Oryzias latipes: one gene and its partners. Each later gene encodes a partner of the first gene's protein in a complex. Links are inferred from orthologs where the notes say so. Each region holds a gene or a part of one and is shown on either strand. Other genes may lie near its edges. The genes, in order: prpf8, tssc4 and lsm7.

Region 1 (3,652 bases):
TGGTGTAAATGGCAACAGCTTCTTCTGCTGTGATGTAAGGGCCATCCTGCAACCAGAACACAAAGTTAGGAAAAAAGTTTAAAGCAGGTCAAATGTTTTAGATTGAGACTCATGGGTTAAGAATTATAACACTTTTAATTGTACTTTTTCAAATGATGAATTAAATTGTCTGAACAGTTAGTGGCCAACTGCATCTGTAACCAGCAATAAAAATAACTGTTCACATTGATGTTCCTCTTGTTCTTACGCACAGACAAGCAGACCAATGCCAGAGCGCCTTTGTAAGAGGACTTTTTCTTATTTAGAAAAAATATATATTTCGGAATGTGTTTTTCATCTTGTCAGCAATTTAAAAGAAAAATCTAAATCATACTCCTGACAGGAGGGTTAAATAAGAGTTTTATCTCCAGTGTGAAAGAGGTCACGTTATGTTGTGTACTGTATATACTATAACAGCATCTGGACATTTAAATTTTTACAACCATGTCAATTTTATGTTTTTTTTATTTATTATTTTGTCAATATCAATCTTATGGGGGTTTAAAGCTGCTACATGTCCTTACCAACATGTCTATTATGTGTATTTTTACAGAAAGATACATATATTTAATTCCAGTTCACATCCATTTGATTTTTTTACTCATATTGTATTGAATCTTATTTTTATACTCCATTTAATTGTTTGTTTTTTTACATATCACAGTTTAGTCAGTAATATTTTACTTTCTACATTTAGTCCACTCTGCATCTCTTTTAAAACCTTTTTTAAACAGCTGTGGAATTTTAAAAGGTCCGACAGTGGCACAAAGCCTTTTTCAAAAGGTTGTTCTGTGAATTTATATGTATCGTATGTGACAAATAAAATGTGAGTGGTTTTTTGTTACCTTCAGGTAGTTGTGCTGTCGTTCCTGTTCGGCTTTCAGGTACAGACGTGTCAGCCGGCCCAGGTTCTTTTTGCACACCGTCTTGTCCACAGTGGCTCCTCTGCGAATTCGCTCACGGTTGTAGTGAGCCGTGTTGGTCCACCAGTCAGCTTTGGCCTTTACGTACCGGAGAATCATATTCTCGATGGGCGTAGGAAGACCGGGCACCTGGCATTTTCGTGGGGAGGGAAAAAAAAGTAAATAAGAGGTGACCTTAAACAAAATAAAAGTTAGCTACAAGGATCTAGCCTCAAACAGTAGCCGCGGTTACAGGCGCCAAATATCTTGATGGGATCAATGGTCGTATTAAAGTTCAACCGTGTACATGGGCCCAAAAAAAATGTTCTGATTAGAACAAACGTTCACATGGGTCTCACTTTCGGTCGGAATAAATCATTTGGGCATGCGCAGTAGTGTTGACAATACCGGAAGAGGAAATGAGTCCCACAGTAAACAAACAGAGCGAATACATACATCTATTTAGCAGCTCTGTAATATACGAGACGATCTTCTAAACCTGCTGTTATTAGTGTTATGGTTACTATGAAGCGCCTGTTCGCTCATTTCATTTTTAATCTGTGTGGTGAGTGCATTTTTGTGGAAGAACAGAGCTGGAAGAAGAATTAGGTGAAGAATAACATGCGCTACCAACAACATTTAGCTTTGTATGAACACAAAATCCACGTGGGAAATGCTGCAATCTGCATCTTGGCTGCACGTAAATATGTGGGAATAACATCAGTCTTTATTTTGTCAGGACACGACTGGAAACACAAATCCAAGTGATTGTTTGAACGGTTTCTAAGGACTGAGCGGCATTTCTGCTATGAAAAGCTCACTGCCCCAAAGCCGCTGTGTGAGCTGGCGGCCCAAGCTTCAATTATATTTGTGTGTTTCCAAACAATAAAACAAAGCCTCTTAGATGTGTTGACTGTGCATCACTGACCTTCCAGGGAATGTTTGCTTTCCAGCATCTCCAGGACTCGCTGAGGTGCTGCAGGATGGTTCTGGCCTTGTTCTGTTTGATGCCCTCGGGCATCATGTCAAGGATGTCATGCATCACCGCAGCACGCAACTCCAGGTCAAAGTGGGACTCCACACGCTGCTTGGTAACAGTCTTGGCAACGCCCTTTGAGTGACGTCCTACCATGATAAACACAAATCAGATAAATCTGATATTGAATTTATGAATCATAATAAATGCACAACAGAACCTGAAATTCAAAAAGACAATGTGGAAGTATGTCGTCGTACCTTCAAACTGCCTGGCCAACAGATTTCCCAGCCATCTCTCCAACAGTGGAGTAATGCCTCTCATGAAGAAGAGCCAAACCCTCCAGCCAGGAGCCCAAAATCCACAACCGGGACCCTTGCCCACGGGGCCCTGATTGAATAACAAGCACTACCTTTAGGTGCTATTGCAATGTGAGGGTCTTATAGAGTTTGTGTAAATCAAGTAAACGGACTTTAAAAAGAGACAAAAATAAGGCTACAAGAACAGCATGCTTATACTCACAGTGTTGAACCGATAGTAGATGAGATGCTTCAGGTCTTTGCACATCCTAATTTGTCTCATCAGCTTGTACTTGTAGCGGTACATGCCGGTCAGCTGTCCAACATGGGCAAAGATGTACTGCAGTCCATCAGACAACTGCAACAAAAAGCAAGGAATGAAGTTAATTATTGGAATTGGAACTTGTCTGTAGTTAATAAACATAACCAAACCAAACAAAAGTTGTGTTTATGAAAACAACACAATGAATAATAAAAAAGTCAATTATCAAAACTTTTCTTAATAAAGCTAAAGTGCTGTCTTTAATATTTCCAACACATAAAACAAAATATTTTTTCTTTGTCTACAAAATAAAATAAAAATACCTTTAAAAAGAAAAAGGCCCAAAATTTGAAACACTAACCTGGAAAGCATCAACATTTCCCAATCTGTACTGCACATGGCTGTCCACCACCAGTTTACTGAGGCGCAGCACCTCTCTGCACAGGTGGAAGGCATTCCCAAACCGGGACTTCTTTCGCTCCTGGAGGACAACAACAAAGCCACAAATCAAAATTGGTGTAATCAGAAACAGAGAAAATTGCTTTGTGGATTAAAATAAAAAATATATGTATATATATAATAAAATTTCATGTTGAAATTATTTAAACATTCAGTAGCTTTGCTCAGGTTGGTTTACCTTTGTGGTCAGTGTCTTGACTGGCTTCAGGTTGAAGTTGTAATCCAGATGCAAGTAGTTGAGGTTCTTGCGGTGGATAAGGAGATTGAGCATGTTGTAGCCCTGTCTGCACACCTGCAGGCCCACCTCCACCCAGTCCAGCTTTGTAGACTGGAAAAACTTGGTGGCTTTGAAGGAACGGAACAAATATCTGAAAGGAAACAGCAGAAAAGACATATAAAAACCTACACACGTCTTAAAACCATCAGTCAAATAATAAAAAGCTGTATTCACCTCTTCTTCTGTGCCTTTGGTGGTCTGTGTTTGAGAGCGTTAAGGACGTAGTACTTCAGCAGCTTCTGATATGATACACGCACCTTCACGGGCTGTCCTGCTGGACAATGCTCTCTGTACCTGTGTAATATTTTAATAATTACAACATTTTTATTCAAGTAAAATCTAGCTTTGTATACAACCCAAATCCAGAATTGTATTAAAACTGTACAGCCATCAGCTTACCAGTTCTTGATGAGAGGGATGTCAATGGCACGCCGAGTG
Region 2 (3,752 bases), on another chromosome or scaffold:
GCTCTTCCTCGGGCTCCGACTCGTCACTGGCCGACAGCTCAAAGCCTTCTTGGTCGTCGCCGCAGCTCTGGACGCATTTCTGCTGCGACATCTTCAGCCGCGGCTGCAGCCGAACCCCGAGCCGCGAGGAAGACAAACCCGGTCAGGTGGGAACCCCAAAACTGTAGAGGAAGACACCAAAGGTCAGGCCACCCCATCAAACCTGCATGGACTGGTTTTAACATCTACCAAAACAACAACAAGCTGCTAGGACCTGTGAGGACGGACCACCGAGCATCCAACAGTAAATATGAGGGTTTTGGAAATAACCTGTAAAATAATAATGATCCTCTATGTTTACATCCATTTTAAAAGCAAGCATAATTATTTAAGTCCTAATTCTGTTCAATTCAAAACAAACTTGAAATAAATGTTTTGAAATAATGACCCAATAAAAGGTCAATAATTACAAGAATGCGCACGTGCAGCCAGTGCTGAACGTTGTCATTGGCTGCACGGACCCACAGGAAGGGTCAAGGTTAGGATTTCGGTAAGTTCAGGCAGGTATCCAGGAAGCACGTTTAAACTAGCCTGACTTTAAGCCTGAACTCTGGCTGAAATCCGCCTGAACTTGCTTACTCTGGGTATGTCGGTATGACCAGATTTGAGTTAGTGTAATTACGCTGGACTTGGTAACCCTAACTCAAACTCCCCAACCATCAAATCAGAGAATATTTGAATGAAACGTCCTTTCCCTACATCTCAAATTCAAATTATATAACCCAATATTTCAATAATTCAGAAAAGAAACAAATACGAACCAAATATTTCAAACTCCCCATCCCTCCTAAAGCCAAGGAAGTCAATTTTAAAACCTTTTCAGGTATTTTACCCTTCCAAGGAATTACTAAGAAAACGGTTTGGAATTCCTGAAAACTGCTGTTCTTTTTGTCATGATGACATTGAAACAACTGAGCATCTTTTCTTTGAATGTTTTGACTCTAATGTCTTTTGGAATTATTGGCTTTTCCCCCAAATCCCACATTTAGCAGACTTTTCTATTAAGGACATCATTTTTGGGTTTAATTTAAAAAACAAAAAAACACAGAACTTATTTTAAATGTTGTAATTATTTTGGGTAAATTCTATATACATAAATGTCAATTCCTTGAAATCCAACCATATTCTTTTACATTTCATAAAGAACTCTGCTCTTTTTTTCATCTGCAAACTTCATGGAAATCAAACTTGCTATGGAACTTCAAAGTATTATATGTAACTTGCAGCTTTTTGAGAACCCCCCAAGTCAAGAATCATTAAAATGTCTATGTGACCCCCTTTTTATTTTAATTTCTTTTATTTAATTTTTTTTCGGTATTATTGTTATATTTTTATTTTATCCTGCCTATGTTGTTTGTTCATGTCCTGTACTTTTTCTACTTTTCTATACTTGTCATAATTGTATACAATTGTTACAAATTGTAAACCTCAAGTGTTTTTTCAATTAAAAAAAAAGCTAAAAATAAAGAAAATACCCCCCTGGTTCCTGAGCGGCTGTTTCTGCAGCTCTCCGCTCCTCCAGGATCAAAGTACAATTTTCTCACAGTTAATGGGATTTTAACTTTAAATATGTTTTCCATAACTTTGTTTTCTAGTAAAAATACGTGCGAACAACAATAATAACATCATCATGATCATCAGCCTTAACAGCGCATGAATTAAAACATCTGTTTCATCTCATATATGAATTTTTTTTGTGCCTAAAAAACTAAAGCTTTTGTTTTGATTTTATTTAAAAAGATTGGCAATAAAAATAAAAATAACTCGGAATATTGACTTCGTAAAAACAAGATTCAGACTGAAGTTAGTTAGCATGCTAAGTAGCACGATGCTAGTAGTAGCGCGACATGCTAACAACGTTACAAATGCTTATAAACAAAACAAAAATGCTGTCTAGCCGAAAAGAGCTGCGAAATGCGCTGTTGTTTACATGACAAATATTTATATAATACGCGTAGTTTTGACTTAAATCCCGTTTGTACCTTTGAAATAGCGCAGACCGCCGGCCGAAACCCTCTTCTTCTACGGTAGATCGTGTAATGTTTACGTCATTACTGCCCCCTAACGATTGTCCTGTGGTACTGCAGACCGAGCCGATCCGCGCATGTAAAAAAACAAGGGCGGGTCTTTATATAGCTCCCTGCTGTGATTGGCTGAGCTGCAGCAGACCGGGATCTTTTGAAAGTGTCAGGGCGTGGGCTCAGAACTCCGCTTGTTGTTTCAAAGCTCCAAGTGCCGCGTGATCCTCATTTAATCCCGTTAAACCGAGACTCTGGCGAGCGTTTCAATGGAGTTCGAAGCCCTGGAAACCGGGTGTACCGTCAGCGACGTGTCGGACTTGGTGGTGGTCGATCTGGATCCTCAGGTCGAGACGGACAGCGTTTGCTCCGCGGGACCCGGTTTATTGGATGTAGCGCAAGGTTTGTTACGTTACCGTTTTTGGTTTGAGTTTTCTTTCCTCCGAGTCGGTGTATGAGACAAGCTAACCGCTGCCGTCGAGGTTTGCTAGCTTGGAGATTTAGCAGACTTTTTATCCGAGTTTCCGGCGGTCTGTGAACGCAGCGTCTTCATATGTCGTCAGCCTGAGCTGCATTCTCGGAACTGTCAATCTTGCAGGATTTTCCAAACTTAACCCAAATACGACAAATAATTATATTTCACTCTCATCTGAGTAGACATTAACGGATGTTGAAATAAACAAATAACACAATTATGTTATTACAAAAACAAAATATACCTATAGAAGACCGCAAAAGGGGTGTCAGACTGTTTCTTTTTTTTTTTTTAAGATATCCTGCCTTATCTGCTACTGATTACCTGGATCAGGTGTGCTTCATGGCAGGTTGGTTGGACAACATGTAGGACACCGGCCCTCGAGGCCTGGAGTTTGACACCTGGAAAACGGGGGTGTAAATAAATTCATTTATTTGTGTATGTAGACACAGTATTTGTGACTCTTTTGTTGATTCTATGAAGTTGTTTAACAGATTGTTAAATAAAAGAGAAGAGAAAATATCTGCTTTCATGAGGATTTTGACACAGGAGGACCGGAAAAAGCCTTAAAACCTGTTAACTTACTAAAAATACAGCAATTAAGGACAAAAATAACATTTAAAATGCCTATGAAATTATTATTAAAATTAGAGTTGAAAGCATATTTTTTAAAATAGCAAAATAACTTTATAAATGAGTTAAATCAATGCAAACATTTTTTTTAAAGTCCTTCAAAGTTTAAAAAAGCATTAACAGTCTTTTATTTTGAAAAGTGGCGCTGGACAAACTTTCACAGCCATCATTCATGACCTCCGCTGGGTTCTGCAGCTCTGTTCCAGAACGATGATGCTGGAGACGTCAGTGACGAAGACGAGGATGACGACGACGACAGCGGGACAGACCACCAGAACTCTGAGAGGTCGGGGACGCAGCTGCAGAGGTCGGAGCGGCGGTCAGGAGCGACTCTGCCGGACACCTTCCAGACCGGCAGCCTGCTGTTCTACGAGAGGTTCAAGGCGTACCAGGACTACATGCTGGGTAACGGGGGACCCCAACGCTCGCATGGAGGCGGTTATATTACAGTACAATCATGCAAAACACCCACGACGGTGTAGAAAGAGCTGCAGATGGCGTTCAAACTTTATTGTTCACAACAGTGATGACAAAGCTTAGGCAGAGGCTTCAAAATAAAAACGGTTGGAGGTCAGACTCCCTCTGGC
Region 3 (3,752 bases), on another chromosome or scaffold:
TAACACTTCATGGGCGATTTAGCCGTCTTGCTGCTGTATGAAGGGGTTGGGTATGGCCTCCATGCCGTCCTGAGGACAGATCAGGACGACGGAGGTTCCTCTGCAGACCACCAGCCCCAGCTGCCTGGTGTCTTCTGTCAGCTTCAGCTGGTCGTCTGGATCTGCACACAGACACACAAAGGGATTGTAAATGCCAGAGGATGTTCATCTTTATGTTGCAGTTTTTGTACATTTAAAGAGATTTTTATTGCCGTCAGTAAATGTGACAAATGCTTAACAGAACAAGAGTCCACAGTTGATCCGATACTAGAGGAAAACAATATTACAATGCAAAGAGTTATTAGTTCAAACACAAAAACATTTTTTTCTAGCTAGTGGACTCTTAATGTTAAGGAAATGCTTCAGAATATGATAATGACCTATTAGAACCTATGCAAATGGGAGATAAAAACTTTGGTTTACGGAAAAACACGCCAAGTTTTTAATCGTTATTAAACGCGAGTTTGATGAATTATTATTATAGTTTTTAACTGGAGATCAATACAATTAATTTACTTAGTTTGAAGAGTGAAGGTGAAATTCTTACTGAAAGAAAAGTTACAATATTTAGAAAGGAGAATTAGAAGAAAAAACATTCTTACAAAAAACAGTTTTTCGCCATGGCGATCAAAGTAGCTCCAACTGCTCTTTGTGACATTTTAATGCAGCCAAATTATATATACGTTTAAAATGTGTTTACTTTATTAATCATTGTTAATCCGGCATTAGAGAGTGGGCTAGTGTTAATTTTCTCTCGACTTTAATGTGTCTTCATCATGAATGCTCATCATAGTAAGAAATAATGAGGTCATGTTATGTATTTGGAAAACAAAAGTCCATCTTGTTGATGGTTTTTCTGAAAAATATGAATAACCTTCTTTATGAATCTTTAGAGACATGATGCAGACATGATGCATTCATGATGACAAACAGGACATTTTTTCAAGATGGGGAATTGTGATTAGAAAACGCAGTTCAAAGTTTGATTAAAAACAAAACATTAAGTCCTAAAATACCTGTCTTAGACTACAGCACAATAAATCAATGTTTATTGAAAAAGTTCAGTCTCATTTTAATTTCCAATTTAACTTTTTTCAATTTTTATTAAAGCTTTAGTTTTTAAGAAATACACACTTTTGTAGAACTGATGAATTAAATTAACGCTGATGTTTTTCACACTTATTTACGAGTAAAAACTGCACAAGAACAGATGGAAATTCACGTATTAAGTTCAGCAAAGATGCATTTATCAGAGTCATTAGTGGTTTTACCCAACCCTAACCATTCCTCCAGGTCTGTGAGGCCAAGAAAGAAGTTCTGCACCGGCTCTACGTATTTAGAAAATTATGTGGGAATAGTCACTTTCATAAATTGAAGAAAAATAGAACTTTAAATACAAAAAATTGTAAATATTATAAAGGCGAACAGATTGGCTTCTCCTGTCTGAGAAGGCACGAGAAAATCGTTTAAAAAAAAAAAAGAAAATCTTGCGGCTTTGATGAGTAAATATTACATTTTTTAAATGGAGATCAATACAATTGATTTACTTAAAAAAACAGTTTGAAGAGTGAAGCTGATATTCTAACTGAAAGAAGAGTTACAGTATTTTTGGAAATGAAAAAGAATTAGAAAGTTTGAACCTCACAGCCTGAGTCCACATAACAGTATCAGTAAACCATGGACTAAATAACTCCTAACTACTTAATTATTAGTTCTCCATTAAGAAAAGTGGGTACACGTGAGTTTTCACTTACCACGCATGTACTCAATTGTACCGTCCAACACCAGGTTCAATAGAGGATCGAACCCTTTTAGAACTCCGCTGGCTAAAGAGGGAATAAACAAAGTAAATAATTATATTCTGACATCACTGTGAATATTCTGGTCACCACAAGTTACAATCTTTCGACAAGCCACCTACCCTCCCGTCCTCCTTGAAACTTCACACGAATTGGCTTGTCGATGTATTTGGACAAGTCAAAGATGCTCTCCTTCTTTTTCTTTTCTTTATCCTGTAAAGAAATGTCAGTTTCCAAGATTAATGCACAGTTTAAGGCGCAGACCCTTAGCCTAGCATTAGCTTAGCATCACTGACTAAGGCAGTAACAATTTCACAAATAAAACGGCCGTTACTTCAGAAATGTTATTCTCATTTCCTCAAGTATTCTATTACTGACTAACACCAAATAGAAAATGTTCGGTGAACAATAAGAGAGAAAATTAAACGAAATTATTTCGCACTCACCGCCATGTTTGAAGTGTGACCCGGAAGTTAAACTTTGACCCCAGATACAATTTAATAGCACCAATCACATCGCCGTAAACTCGCATCTGACGTCATCTGAAGTTATTTGCACTCAAAAAATAAAATAAAAAAATGTTCTTAGCTTTAGTTTTACTAAATAATTGTATTTTAATAGTAATTTTTAAAAAAACTTTTACTTTTCAAAGTTGACCTCTTTCTTAACTGCATTCTCCGGGCAGGGGCGTCTATTAATAAACAAAGTACACACCAGCTGGTGTGTTGGGAACCTACCGTAGTTGTGATCCAGAAACAGGACAAAGCAGTAGACTTGTTTTACTCTTTACAGTGACTGAAGTGAAGTTTCAGAGCTTCAATCAATCTTTTCCATGAGTTAGATAACACAATGGACGAAGATGGATATGCTTTTCATGTGGAAGACCCTGGGCCGGATTTTATTCCAGATGCTGTCCTACGGGTAGAGGAGGAGAACTTTTACGTCTGTCGGGAGCACCTGGCCCTTCAGAGTCCATACTTCAGAGCTCTGTTCTTTGGCTGTGGTGTGGAAAGCCGCAAAAAGCTTGTTGAGATCAAAGGTGTGGGTCGACAGTCTTTCAAAGTTTTGATAGAGTACAGCAAGACTCGCCGTCTGACTTTGGACCATGAAAATGTTCTTGGGATTCTTGAGACTGCAAACTATCTACAACTAGAAAAAGCCAGACTGCTGTGTTGCAAGTTCTTGGAGCGCGAGCTACACCTCACGAATTGTTTAGGAATGATGGCCTATGCATGGCAACTGGGCTGCTCTCAGCTTTATTCTGCAGCCCGGCAGGTTGTGCTCACACACTTCCCTGCGGTCTCAGCTGAAGAGGATTTTCTGTCCCTTTCCAAGGAAAGTATTGCTGATCTACTTGCCAGTGATGATCTGGCTCTCCACAAAGACGATGTGGCGCTTGAAGCCACCCTGCGCTGGGTTTCGTTTGATCCTAAACGAGAAGAACATTTTTTAGAGCTAATAGAGCTGGTGAGACCAGAGTCTCTCTCCTTAGCATTTATTACCCAACTTCTGACCAGAATGAAAGGTTCTGACCCTCGAGCAAGGCTCATCAGCAAGCTGAATGATCACTTCCCAGCCTCTTGGTCAGTAGGCAGGTCTTTGAGGCGGACCAAAGCTACAGAGACTCTCTATGTCCTGGGAGGGCCTCATGATCAGGAACAGCAGGCACTGTATCAGTTCCACCCTCTGAGCGGTAGATGGCAGTGCTGTGCACCTTTGCAGCAGAAGAATCTAACTCAGTACTCAGTAGCTGCAGTAGGTAATATCCAATTAAGATTAAAGAGAATGCTTTTCTTGAAATCTCAAATGTGAAATAAATGTATAAATTATATTACATTATAAATGTATAAAATAAATGTAAATTTAAGGTGTATTTTCCATTTAGGAAACAACGTGGTTGTGACTGGAGGCCAC

Evidence for each region.
Region 2: the proteins of prpf8 (region 1) and tssc4 are in contact, whole or in part, in a cryo-EM structure (PDB 7PX3), measured with the Homo sapiens proteins. The link is inferred for Oryzias latipes from reciprocal best matches to the Homo sapiens genes PRPF8 and TSSC4. Residues at the interface, in NP_006436.3 of Homo sapiens: Thr2087, Asn2088, His2089, Ile2090, Tyr2091, Val2092, Ser2093, Ser2094, Asp2095, Lys2108, Leu2111, Lys2112, Glu2184, Thr2219, Pro2220, Thr2224, Leu2225, Leu2262, Leu2263; in NP_001284587.1 of Homo sapiens: Pro153, Asp154, Tyr155, Glu160, Arg161, Trp162, Thr163, Lys164, Tyr165, Ser166, Leu167.
Region 3: prpf8 (region 1) and lsm7 share a complex: the UniProt entries of both Homo sapiens proteins name them as parts of the U4/U6-U5 tri-snRNP complex. The link is inferred for Oryzias latipes from reciprocal best matches to the Homo sapiens genes PRPF8 and LSM7.

What each region holds. Positions count from the first base shown.
Region 1 is NC_019871.2:16,917,422-16,921,073, reverse strand, and holds part of prpf8 (pre-mRNA-processing-splicing factor 8), read right to left. Parts: coding exon 3,614-3,652; intron 3,509-3,613; coding exon 3,389-3,508; intron 3,306-3,388; coding exon 3,116-3,305; intron 2,960-3,115; coding exon 2,840-2,959; intron 2,575-2,839; coding exon 2,440-2,574; intron 2,308-2,439; coding exon 2,178-2,307; intron 2,067-2,177; coding exon 1,870-2,066; intron 1,092-1,869; coding exon 885-1,091; intron 47-884; coding exon 1-46. UniProt on the Homo sapiens protein: Plays a role in pre-mRNA splicing as core component of precatalytic, catalytic and postcatalytic spliceosomal complexes, both of the predominant U2-type spliceosome and the minor U12-type spliceosome.
Region 2 is NC_019861.2:37,264,977-37,268,728, forward strand, and holds the start of tssc4 (protein TSSC4), read right to left. Parts: upstream 2,119-3,752; 5' UTR 2,022-2,118; intron 162-2,021; 5' UTR 92-161; coding exon 1-91. Other genes in the region: shcbp1 (SHC SH2 domain-binding protein 1), read left to right, coding at 2,327-2,459, 3,361-3,570. UniProt on the Homo sapiens protein: Protein associated with the U5 snRNP, during its maturation and its post-splicing recycling and which is required for spliceosomal tri-snRNP complex assembly in the nucleus.
Region 3 is NC_019862.2:8,273,086-8,276,837, forward strand, and holds the start of lsm7 (U6 snRNA-associated Sm-like protein LSm7), read right to left. Parts: upstream 2,398-3,752; 5' UTR 2,291-2,397; coding exon 2,285-2,290; intron 2,052-2,284; coding exon 1,961-2,051; intron 1,866-1,960; coding exon 1,794-1,865; intron 162-1,793; coding exon 19-161; 3' UTR 1-18. Other genes in the region: kelch-like protein 24, read left to right, coding at 2,688-3,597, 3,724-3,752. UniProt on the Homo sapiens protein: Plays a role in pre-mRNA splicing as component of the U4/U6-U5 tri-snRNP complex that is involved in spliceosome assembly, and as component of the precatalytic spliceosome (spliceosome B complex).